3 linked regions of the Xenopus tropicalis genome follow. The protein of the gene in region 2 interacts with the protein of the main gene of each other region in a pairwise test. Links are inferred from orthologs where the notes say so. Each region holds a gene or a part of one and is shown on either strand. Other genes may lie near its edges. The genes, in order: hpcal4, spred1 and ncald.

The links.
Region 1: the proteins of spred1 (region 2) and hpcal4 interact in binary tests that used the Homo sapiens proteins (3 or more experiments, as listed by UniProt). The link is inferred for Xenopus tropicalis from reciprocal best matches to the Homo sapiens genes SPRED1 and HPCAL4.
Region 3: the proteins of spred1 (region 2) and ncald interact in binary tests that used the Homo sapiens proteins (3 or more experiments, as listed by UniProt). The link is inferred for Xenopus tropicalis from reciprocal best matches to the Homo sapiens genes SPRED1 and NCALD.

Annotation. Positions count from the first base shown.
Region 1 is NC_030678.2:90,976,532-90,980,878, reverse strand, and holds the start of hpcal4 (hippocalcin-like protein 4), read right to left. Parts: upstream 2,904-4,347; 5' UTR 2,839-2,903; intron 1-2,838. UniProt on the Homo sapiens protein: May be involved in the calcium-dependent regulation of rhodopsin phosphorylation.
Region 2 is NC_030684.2:110,838,764-110,843,197, reverse strand, and holds the start of spred1 (sprouty-related, EVH1 domain-containing protein 1), read left to right. Parts: upstream 1-1,589; 5' UTR 1,590-1,724; coding exon 1,725-1,747; intron 1,748-4,434. UniProt on the Homo sapiens protein: Tyrosine kinase substrate that inhibits growth-factor-mediated activation of MAP kinase. Negatively regulates hematopoiesis of bone marrow.
Region 3 is NC_030682.2:131,164,513-131,168,666, forward strand, and holds the start of ncald (neurocalcin-delta), read right to left. Parts: upstream 2,826-4,154; 5' UTR 2,557-2,825; intron 1-2,556. UniProt on the Homo sapiens protein: May be involved in the calcium-dependent regulation of rhodopsin phosphorylation. Binds three calcium ions.

The sequences.
Region 1 (4,347 bases), on a different chromosome or scaffold from region 2:
ACTGCGAGCCTATGGAGACCCATCTGATGAAGACCGCAATAGCAAGCCTTTGCAGCCCTTACATGATGGCATTTCAAACCTGACTGATATCTGACTGATTCTGACTCTATTAGACAGGCTCTCCTAAGGACCATTAAACTGCAGACTTGGTCAGAAGGGGCTGAGGTGCCAGCTTGGCCCATGTATGACCTTTGAACTAACATCATACATGATGGATCATTTACTTAAGTAGTGTAAAAAAAAGTCTAATTGGACAGTTTTTTACCCATGATGCAACTTTCTTTCCCAGAAGAAATACTGCATCATAAACTAATGGTGGACAGATTTGCACTGGTTACTAATCTTGTCATAAATGGGTACAAGCCTGCAAGGTAAGGGGCACAATAACATTAAGCAGTTATCTATGGGGCTTTCAGTTTTAGAGTTTGGCCTGTATTGTTCAAAAAAATAAAAAAAAACCATAACATACATATATTCCCTTTATAACAATAGGTATGTTCAGTATACATAAAGTTTAACTTAACTATGTAAGTCCTAATATGTGCTGAATTAATGTTAAAAATTGGGTATCCTGCCCTTCGCTTCTGAAATTATTGCTTAATAATTTGCAATATTCCTGCACTGGAACTTGTTTGAAATTTACCATGGGCTTATTATACAGATACTATAAGAAAAAACACTTTCAGTGCATTGTAGATCAAAAACGGTGATTTGTGCTTTTATTATGCACTGGCTTAGTAAATTAGCTACTAAGGGTTGAACTAGTTTAGAAAACTCATCCTGGCATACACTATAGAGTCCTTGTTGGACCTTGTAATCTTGTTCTTGGGCTGCAGGAGGTAAAGACACAGTGTAGGCCTGAAAGGTGTTGCACCTATATGGGTAAACTGGGTGCACTGGATTGGAGTCACACTAATTTTCTGTAATTCTTGCCAAATAAGAGCATAAATGAAGACATTTCTATGGCCTTTTTCAATCTGCCATGTACTTTATTACATCTCTTAGTGACTTACTCAAAATTTCATGATGCCTTGTGGCATTTTGTGTGGTCCTCATGATCAGAAAGAAATATTTACTGAAACTGCCAGTCAGTAGTTTTGACTTTGCTTTTTCCATTGTGGATATACAGATTGATATGGTTTGTGTGTAGTGTCAGTCATGAATAAATAACTCTTCCAACTGATTAATATCTGTCAGTCCTACCTGTTGTTTAATTCAGAAGTTATTGTACTTGAGCTATAGTATTGATAGCTTTGTTATTTTTTCTTATGCCTGAACCACTTCAACAGATCAATGGTTTTGCATGTACAAGCTTATGCTGAAGGCAAAACAGATGATGATGTAAAGAATAGCTTTTAATCAGATATCTTTAAAAAAAAACATTGGTTACTGTAGCATGGTACAATTACAAAATCTGCGCTTAACACACAAGTGTTACAATGGCATATGATGATGTGTGTGATTGGATTAAACATTTTAACAGATATTTTCTTCCCTTTAACATAATGCTTGCCCTTTGCCTTTACGGATTTGCTATCATCACCTGACACTCTGCTTGAAGATGTAAGCAATGATAAGCTGGATTCCTGTAAGTTAATATGATAATATACTTGTGTACATATATATTTCACTATTTTATGGTATGTTAATGGAAAAAAATCAATATGCCACTATTGTGCCTGAGAGGATGTTAATAGCAATATTCCTGTACGTATATGTTTATGTTATTGTACATCTGTGTTTATAGACCACTGGGATATTGTTGTGTCTTTCAGTATATGTGTGTCAGGCTGCTAGTGGAGGTTCATTGTTCATGGCTGCTTGTCCTAACAGTTTCTCTCTTTGTCTCTTCCTCTCATTGCTGAACGAATATCACCATTTTCCATCCTGTGTAAGTGTGAGCTGGTGCTGAGGTGGTTACTATGGCAACTGCTGCCTGGTACACATAGGACTCCCAGAGTGCACTCTGAGAGTCTGTATATTTCCCTTACTTTTCTCTCATTATGCTCTTTATTGTAATATCCACCCTAAAAATAAAGTACATATTTAAGGCAAACACAGGATCTTGCTTCATGGATCTCAAGCATGTAAAGTAGGAATCTGAAATGTGCACGGTTTGATGATGGGTATACTAAACTGAAATGGAAATTGGGTCAGTGATTCACAGTATTCATAGGTTATATAGTAATATATATATATTATTTTTCTAACACTGTATATTTGTGTCCCACTATACATATTTGTATCTGGCTGATGAACAATTTCCATCTATGTAATGCCACGACTCTTGTATGCTCTGACATCCATACATAAAAAGACTGCATCTTACTGTTTGCATAAATATCTGGGATTTGGAAATCATTATGCAAGAAACCACTAGCAAGAGAAGTGTTAAAGTCAGATTATGTTCCAGTTGCAATTTTACCAATACTACACAGATGTGAATTATTAGACCTGCGCAATTACACAAAAAGCTCGAGGCACACACTAAATGACACTGCGTTCTACAATCACCTGTTCTTGCTGAAAGGTCTTTTGAAGTCGACACAGAAAACACATTTACAGAACTGTAATGCCCCTTCCTCTGCCATTAGTAAGAGGAGCTGGACACAAAACAGAGAGAGAATAATAATTTAAACAAAAGCCCAGCTAGATACAGCCTTGCATGAGGGATAATTGGTCTTGATGTCCTAAAATTGTTCCAGCCATGGAAATCATCTCCTAGACTAGCAGGTTGGGCTACTATACAAAGCATATCACTGTAAAGTCTGCTCTCTAAAGAGAATACTCTGTTTAGGGCCACCTTATTAATACAAAGCAAAAGCATATATACTGTACCTTAACGTTGAATGATATACCTCTGGATTCTCTGTGATGGTCCTGCTGTCTTGCTCCTGTTTTTTCTAGCTGTGTCACTTGCTCACAGTGAGATGTTTTTGGGGGGCAGTAAGCAAAACCCAGATCACGATGTTTGCCTGTCACACCTTATTTGCATAGTCCCACCCTCCCATATACACTGGTTTGTGCCATTGGTGGGGAGGTATGTTAACAAGGTGAAATGTCCGTGTGGCTCAGGATGCCACTGTGTGTCACAGGGGACAGATTTGGCTAGTGGTAGCAGAGGAGGCCAGTTAGTAAGAAAATGTCTAGGGATGTAAAACAAGCTCCACATAGGGTTTCCATAGAAACAGTAGCCATGGCACTAAGATGCTGTGCTCTGAAGGAATGAAATAAGAGAAAAACACAAATTCATGCAGATATATACAGGACATGTTATTTTTGTCACAGATCTGTAGATGTCACAGAAAAGACAAGAAATATACATAAATGCATACTCGATGATGCAAACCTATGCAGATTTCTTAAGCAGCTATTTTTAAATATGTAGTGTACATTACATATGAATAATACATGGAAATAAACCCAAAAAATACACAAAGACCCATAATAAACCAGATATATTCAACTTGAGTTTCTCTGTATTATTGGCAGTGGCGTATACTTGCTCATAGTTCATGGATCTTCGTCAGGCAAATGTAAAATGGGTCTGAATTGTATGTTGTTCATGAAAATGTGGCTGTGCAAGCCTAACCTGGAAAACCATCTCCATTATAATTGTGTTAAAGATTGATGGGAATGATATTAGTTCCAGCTAATATTAAGCCAATGATTATGTCTTACCATAAAATACATAGAGAAAATACTCCAGAGTACTACATATAGAATGTATAGTTCAAGTAACCAGAGCAAGTTTGGCAAAAACATTAAATGGAGAAAGAATCTGCAGGAAACGTCCCCAAAGCTGACCCCCACCAGCCACATCTACAAACCTATAGTCTCTCAGTAACACATTAGCCTTATGGATTTATGAATGGTCTGGTAGACTTCATATTAATTAGTGTTTTAAATGTTTAGTGAGCCCTGTGAGTGCAGTTTTTCTGCATTATTTGTGTTGTTTCATGGCTCCGGCACCCAGGTAGGGTTGCCACATGGAAAAATACTGACCTTCCTATATTTTTATGTTTTCTATTTCCCTGTTAATAACATTGGCATTAAACATAATTTTTACAGGTAGTGCAAGTAAAATACTGACCAGGTGGCAAACCTATTTATGGTGTAAACCATACATATTTAGCATAGGATTCTTATTTGCCCTAATAGGCCTCCTTTAGATAAACATAAAACAAGGGGTGCACTTCCATCATGTAAAATAGTACCAGCATCTATATATAAATAAAAATAATGCACTTACAATTTAGCAGTTGACAAATTGCTAATCAGAAAAGTCCAGACAATGTGTTCCCAATGGGTTTTGTATTTATGGACCTACTAGAACTAACACTGACA
Region 2 (4,434 bases):
CTCCTGTTAGCAGAAAACTGCATTGGCTTTGGGTACTAGCAAGTGAGTGATACTTTTTTCCCCTTCTTCCTTTTTCAAAATCACAGGCCAACACATGGGCAACAGAGTAAAAAAGCTGGCTTTTTTGGTAATGTTTGGCTTTTCACTCTACTGCACATGCGTACCTGGTACGAAGAAAGAAGAAGAGGATAATTCACATGTACCCCAGGTCGGTGCAGTTTTCTAACAGGAGCGCTGGCTCGCATTATCAGGTAAGAGATTATAATTACTGGGGGGTGTCTAACATTTGGCAATCCCCAGTGATTGTACCTTTTCTTCTCCTTAAATAATTGTATATCATACACGGCCACTGTGCGTCAATCTAAAGGTGGTCATACATGGGCCAATAAAAGCTGCTGATGGTCTGAGACAGGCTACTGGACTAGTATCTGACCAGATGTCAATTGGGTAAGTTTAAAAATCCCATCGAATGAGGTACACATTAGTGCATTGATGTGGTCCTCGTCCCAACGGCCTGTATCCCATCAACATAATCATATTGTTTGACTGGAGGGTCAAATGATAGGATCAATGAGATATCAGGGAAATATCTGCTTCTGAGCATATCAGGCAGTGTCGGACTGGCCCACCAGGAAAACTCTTGGTGGGCCCAGGTGTAAGTGGGCCCTCCTGCTCATGACCATTTGGCCTGCTTCATGGTCATTCCCTATTTCTGAATGGGAACACAGAGGAGAAATAGATGGAAGAATAGATGCTAGCATGTAAATAAAAGAGACTAGGAGAATAAAGAGAGCAAAAGAGGAAAAATTGTTAGGAAAGTGGGCCCGGGGTCTAAGGTTTTCTGGTGGGCCCCTGGGGTCCCAGTATGACACTGATATCAGTGAAAGATTCGCTTCTTTTGGGACCTCACGGAGGAGGGGATAGTTCAACCTATGACCAGTTTATGGTATTTCCAAACCTACTATACTTGTGGGCTCTTTAGTACCATCCTGCTCTGCTGTCCACATTGTCACTCCAATTCAACAATAGAACACTTGGCAGTATGGCAGCAATCCAAGAGGCAATTAAGCAACTGTAGAGTCCAGGCTGCCTGGTTTCAATGTATCTGTGTATTTTCTCCATTGAGAAAAAAAAACATATAAGTTATAAATGTGTTTAACCAACTGAATAATCGCCCAGGGATCCTGTCAGGACAATTATATAACGAAAAGAAAATAAAACGCTTCTCCTCAAAGGCGGCTCGTTGGGACTTCTACATAAGGGGTTAAACAATGGGTCCAGAAATAGAAGTATATGCAAAGGCTCTTGCAAAGTTGTCTGTGTGTGAGCGTAAAGCTAAGGCGCAGCGAGGAAGGCGCTGGTGTGTGTGCGCCTGTATATGTACACATATATGTATGAACTGTAAAGGAGGAGCACCCTCCCTCTCCCTTCCACCCCCAGTAGAAGGAGGAGAGACTGGGAGGAGGAGAGCAGGGGAAACGCAGGGAGGGGGGTCCGTTCTGGATGCGCACTCGCACGGATGCTTGGCGCAGGATTGGCCTGCCTTTAAATCGCTTCTCCGCAGTTTATCGCTGTTTCGAATGCTCCGGCGGGGCGCACTTCCCATATAACCTTCCGATTGCCTCCCGGATCCCTGTGCCCTCACCATGCGTCTCCTTCGGGAGCCTCCCTGCGCCCTGGCCGACGGCAGCCAGCCCCGAATCGGAGCCCGGTGAAAGGGGACAATGAGCGGCGAACAGGAGCCAGAGTGAGTGCCACCTGTGTCCCGTACTGGTCTCTATTGCACCGGGATGGGTAGATTAGGCCTTTGGGATGCGCAGGGAGCGCTTTGCGCCGGGCTAGTCCCTGTGTGGATCCCATGCCCCAGCGCTGCACACTTGTGCGAGTGGGAATGCAGAGAGCGTGTGTGAGCGCATACAGGCAGAATGTGTGTTCTACTGTGCACTCCCCGACTCTAATCATGGGCACTGAGTGTGCAAGGGGATGGGGGACATAGTGGCCAAGTGCAATCAATGCTTTTCTCTATGTTGCCTCTCATGGGTTGTGGGCAAGGTATTTCTGGCTGGCTTGTCTACCTGTGTGTATGTGCCTGGAGCTGCAATTCTGCATGGGATAAGCTAGAGCTGTGTGAAAAAGTCTCCATGACTAAAGCACAGTATGTACTAATACTTGCATTATAATGTCAGTGCATCATACTGTATCTAAGCAATGCTTGGCAGGTGTGGCTTACACTATGGTATAATGGCCCATCTATCTATCTATCTATCTATGTATCTATCTATCTATCTATCTATCTATCTATCATCTATCTATCTATCTATCTATCTATCAAAAGTCTAGCATGTCTATCTGTATATTATGGGTGTATATAATATAACTATGCAAAGACACATCTCATAATTTATGCAGGCATTCTGTAATGTGAGTATATTTTTATTACATTACATTAACATTTATTTATAAAGCGCCAACATATTCCGCAGCGCTGTACAATAAGTGGGTTACATACATTGGACATACAGAGTAACATATAAAGCAATCAATAACCGATACAAGAGGTGAAGAGGGCCCTGCCCAAAAGAGCTTACAATCTACAAGGAGAAAGGGTTGAGACACAAGGTGTGGGAATGGGCATGACCAGAGTTGTGAGAGTATATATCAGATATTTTGCAGATGTCAAACCTGCGGCCCTCCAGCAGTTGCTTATATTCTCCTTTAAGTATCCTCTGAGAGCCGCAGGTTGGGCATAACTGCTTTGTGTGCTCACACAAACACGTATGTATGGGAGCGTGTGTTTGTATACATATATTCATATATATGTATATAAGTGTGTATATTAAATATATGTGTATGTTTATATATATAGCTATTGCATCATTGTATTGTTTATGTATATATCATGTTTGTGTTTGTATATGGTTTGCAGTTGATTTTGTGCAGGTGTACAACATTTACATATTTGTATATGATTTTCATGTGGAAATTGTTTATTTGAGAAGGTCTTCATCAGTGACCGTAGAGTGAATTTCCCTATTTTAGAAAAGATGGCTATTTTTTACTGTATCCATGTGCGTGCAATTTTTTCTTTTTTTGCATGATTTAACGAGGCGGCCTTATTATGCTTCAACAATGTACCACATTCATATATGTGTGCCTTGTGCTGTCAGTTATTATATACATTTGTATATGTGTCGTTGTATGGCTATTTTTTTGTCCATGAATGGTTATATATAATGCAGAAAGATGAGCACACCCTCAAAATAAATCAAATGCCTGGGTGCCAGTAATACATGGTTATTTTAGAAAGTACAGAAACACCAAAGTGAATGCATTGGTTCCAATGCGTTTGATTGCACGTTTAATTTCTGTTTTATTTCACTTTAAATATTGTGATTCATAGGATATATACGCCAAAAGTATTTTAGTACAATTGTGATTCTGACAGCACAACTTTTGTGTAACCCTGTTCAGTTCTGCTGATTTATCAGCCTGCTGATAAGGTGAATTGAACTATGCACCTTGGGCTTATTAGTGTTCACATTTGCTACAATAATTTCTACATTCGAGCTTCAACTCAGTATTATTCTATTAATATGTGATATTTCTACAAACTGTTCTGGGATATATTTGCATTATTTTATTGTACCAGGGCAGGTTGCATAGTTGCCATTTACTCTCATGTGGGAAATGCACCGTTCTGTTGCCATCCTGGAGAGTACAGTTGATTGAAAGGTGTTGGACAAATTAGCCTTTGCGTAGGGCCACTTAGGTAAAGCAGGGCTATTTGACCTTTTTCCTTTTTAGCTGTTGCTCAGCTCCCAGCATTATTAGAGTGTAAGCTTTTGTGAGCAGGCCGCTCTAATCCTACTGTTTCATTCTGTAGCCTCTACAAACCATACCCTTTTACAATTTGTAACCCTTGTTTGATATATTTTGTAAAGCAATGTGTAACTTGCCAGAGCTATATAAATAAATGATGAGGAGGACTGGTAAATGCTGGAAATTGTAGGTCAATAACAGCAGTAAGGCATGTTTCTTGGACAGGTGAGCTGCTTTTCTGCTGGCAGAGGCACTGCACCACCAAAGACATCTTTGTAGCATGTTCATTGTAAGCTAACGTTTATTATTATATGTAAATGTGCTTATCGTTATATGTCATATGTACGTACATTATTCTGCAATATGAGCAATTGCTGTGCAAATTGGTGTGTGCGATTATTAACACCAGAAATATTATAATTTATGTAAAAATTACTAGGCATATTTCATAGCTGGATATAATTGGGGCACAATGCAAATAATTGGATGCAAATGCAACCTGTATAAATGGTGAAAGGTCCCTGTTTACAAGAGCTTAGGCTTATGGCACACAGACATTTTGATTACCACTCTTCTCCCAGAAAAAAGGAAGCAGCAGTGAAACTACTGGCATTG
Region 3 (4,154 bases), on a different chromosome or scaffold from region 2:
AAACCCAAATAAGAGCTGCCAAATGGATTACTTCTATATAATCCGCTAACGGCTGCAAAAGAGAACCCAGAGTGGCAGTGGCCTACAGAACAAGGCAAAGTAAAATAAAACAAGTTCTGCTTTAAAGGACAAGGTAAGGCTATGTGCCTGTGGTGCCCGGTATTTTGAATTAGGCTTTCCTTGTCTATTAAACATGAGCAAAGAATAGATGTGGAAGTTGAATTTTCATATCCCATTATGACTCCGCAGTAACTGATAACAAAAATCCATTAATATATCATATTTAAACAGGTACAGGTATGAGATAATTTATCCAGAAGGCTTGGGACCAGGGGTTTGCCAAAAGACAACTAAAGAATTCAACATTAGACATTGTAGGAATTGGAGTCTTGGCTGAAGGAGAACTAAATACTGTTACATTGTTTCACACGTGCATGTAGTCTGGACCAGCAGTGCAGGAAAACAGCAAGGGATAGCCAGATATTGCTTTTTATTAGCAACTGCGTGTGTAATTATAGTATATGGAAACTTTTGTAGGTTTATATTTACTATAGAATGTATCTTATTACACCAAGACAAACATACAAAAGGACTGGCAGAATGACTCAATAGGGCATTTCATTCCAAATATTAGCTTTTAGGTTCAAGGTCTCTCTGGATCAGCCTTTGTAACAGTATCTCCCTTCCAGCCAGTGTTTGCTAAGTATTAACCCCCCATGAGTAGATGGGATGATATCCTTCCAACAGAGATCTCCAATCAGGTGGAAAAAAAAAATAAAATCTAATGATAAAGGACTTTTATATATTTGAATTAACAAATATATAACGATATCTGAATAAATATTATTTGAAACAAGAGGCACACAGTTTGCAACCTTGAAAGCATGCAACATTTCCTAGAGGATGTATTCTAAATTTATACTTCCTATGTCCATATCTGGCATGTTTACACTATACATATATATACATTCCCCTAGGGCAATGGGAAACATAAAGGGTTTTTTTGTAAGTTATTTCCTATATGTTTTTAGTTTTGCATAGGGCAAAGAAGGGGGCAGAAGTTAAATAAATCAGGGGTGCTTATTAACTGTCTAGCGCAACTCTCCGCATCACATGACAACCAAAGGAATGCAGGGAGTTGTACATTAAGGACAGTTGGTGGGCATCCTTTTGGTTGTCAGGGCATTCTGAGAGATGCAGCAGAACCACAGTAAGAAGGGTATGTTGTATACACTGAAAATGGTCTTACACAATACACATCATTAGGACTTTTAACTATGTTTTTCACAATAAGGGTGAAGACACACAGAGCTATTAGTAGCAGCTACTTTTTCATGGATACGAAACTCCAGAAAATATCCTGCCATAGACAATACTGAGAATTTCCTCTGCTAAAACACATGTAGAGACTGTTATCAGTAAATATTCAGCAGTCTATTTTAGTAGCCATGACAAGTAGCTGCTACTAGTAGCTCCGTGTGTCTTCACCATAAAGCTGAGCATACGAGTTCAGATTTTAGTTGTCTTACAATGAATGTTCGACCTAAAACTAACATTCAGATTTAAATTGTAAGATTAAAGACCTAAAAATAATAAATCTGACGATGTTTTGGTGATTAAGAATTGCCAGACAACAATCATATGAAAGTTATGTCCTGGTAATACATCGTAAGTTCCCCAAGGAAATCATCAGATAGGCAATACATGCACAGATATTGTTTTCCAACAAAAAGCCTAACCTGTCTGATCGATTAAACAACCAATTGCCATTGTACGTAAATTGTCAGTACAATAATTCAGAGCCTACTAACAGTCAGAAAACTGAATGAAACTTTGTTTCGTACCATTAAATCGGTGTGTGTATGGCCAGCTTGGAGCGTACAGGTCAAATTCTCATTCTGCCTAGCTTCCCAGCACCAAACAGCCCTAGAGAGGCAAATCAGCCACATGAAAATGACTAAGTAGCTGCCAGCAAGAGTGCAAAGCATTTCATCAGATCTGTCTGCCCTCATTAGTGCCAACAGGGCTCTAGTGCAAATGGTGTGTGTGTCACAATGCGGAGTTATTGTATGAAGTAAGTTCAATGGGGGGGGGGGGGGGAGACCAAAAGCAATCAACATTATCACTGAAAACAAATGGTATCATCTTAACCCACTGTCTAATTCCGGAAAGCTGTGGGTCACACTACTTCCTATGTGAGCGAAAGCACCCAACCAGGAGAAAGTGACTTCTGTCAGTACAAAAACGATTTTGTAAGACAAAAAATCCCTGGCAGAATTCTGTTTCACAAGACACTCGTATATTGAATTACTACACAAATCACTAGGACCACAGAATTCTGTTCCTGATACACAAGTCACTTGTATCACGACTTGTGCAAAAGTCTATTGTCGCAGTGTCGCACAACGGTGTTGCTGTCAGTGCTTAGGGAGCTGCTATGTCACTTAAATCAATCGTTCCCAGCAACTTGTGGGCGCAGCACTGAGAAACTTTCAAATGCACAAGCCACGATAGTGATAGAAGCATGCGGCAAAGTCGTATAGCGATTGTACTCACTCAAACCGAAAGACTTCTCTCCACTTCCTCCTGCTGATCGCAGCACCGGCCCCAGTGTGGCAGCTCCTACACCGAGTACACACGTTGCGGCGGATCTTATCCCTGCTGCATGGGTGCAAAGTGCTGCCCCGCACACACAAAGTTGCTCGGGAAGAAAGCAGAAGAGACAGGGGAAGAGCCGTGACTTGCGACTGCGGCGGCAGCTCTCATACAGCGCAGCGACAAGGCGAGGAGCGGGGCAGTTTAGCAGACGGGCGATTTAATAGTCCATTCTCCGGCGGAGCGATAGCAGCAGCAACAGGAGGAGTAGGAAGCAGCGCTCTCACACTGTAGGTCCCACCATGCAACACATTCACAAGCCTCTGGGCTGTGTGTGGCTCCCAGCGCTGGCTCTGCCCCCACATGACGTCACGTTCTCTTGTCACATGGCCACATGAAAGGCGAGAGAGAGAGAGAGAGAGCGCTGGTTGTCCTGGCAACAACAGAAGTGTTCTGAAAAGATTTCAATAGGTCAGATTCCTTCTCCTGTACTGTGTGCGCATTGTAGTCATTAGATGCGGCCTGACAGCCCTGGGGGATTGCTGTGGCACACCTGGTGCCCTGCTGCTAGCCAAGGGGCTAACTGTACTGGGGCTGCTAGCCAAGGGGCTAACTGTACTGGGGCTGCTAGCTATATCCTGCATACTGTACTGGGGCTGCTAGCTATATCCTGCATACTGTACTGGGGCTGCTAGCTATATCCTGCATACTGTACTGGGGCTGCTAGCTATATCCTGCATACTGTACTGGGGCTGCTAGCTATATCCTGCATACTGTACTGGGGCTGCTAGCTATATCCTGCATACTGTACTGGGGCTGCTAGCTATATCCCTCATACTGTACTGAGGGGCTGCTAGCTATATCCCTCATACTGTACTGGGGCTGCTAGCTATATCCCTCATACTGTACTGGGGCTGCTAGCTATATCCTGCATACTGTACTGGGGCTGCTAGCTATATCCTGCATACTGTACTGGGGCTGCTAGCTATATCCTGCATAATGTACTGGGGCTGCTAGCTATATCCCTCATACTGTACTGGGGCTGCTAGCTATATCCTGCATAATGTGCTGGGGCTGCTAGGTATATCCCTCATACTGTACTGGGGCTGCTAGCAATATCCCTCATACTGTACTGGGGCTGCTAGCTATATCCTGCATACTGTACTGGGGCTGCTAGCTATATCCCTCATACTGTACTGGGGCTGCTAGCTATATCCTGCATACTGTACTGGGGCTGCTAGCTATATCCCTCATACTGTACTGGGGCTGCTAGCTATATCCCTCATACTGTACTGGGGCTGCTAGCTATATCCCTCATACTGTACTGGGGCTGCTAGCTATATCCTGCATACTGTACTGGGGCTGCTAGCTATATCCTGCATACTGTACTGGGGCTGCTAGCTATATCCCTCATACTGTACTGGGGCTGCTAGCTATATCCCTCATACTGTACTGGGGCTGCTAGCTATATCCTGCATACTGTACTGGGGCTGCTAGCTATATCCTGCATACTGTACTGGGGCTGCTAGCTATATCCTGCATACTGTACTGGGGCTGCT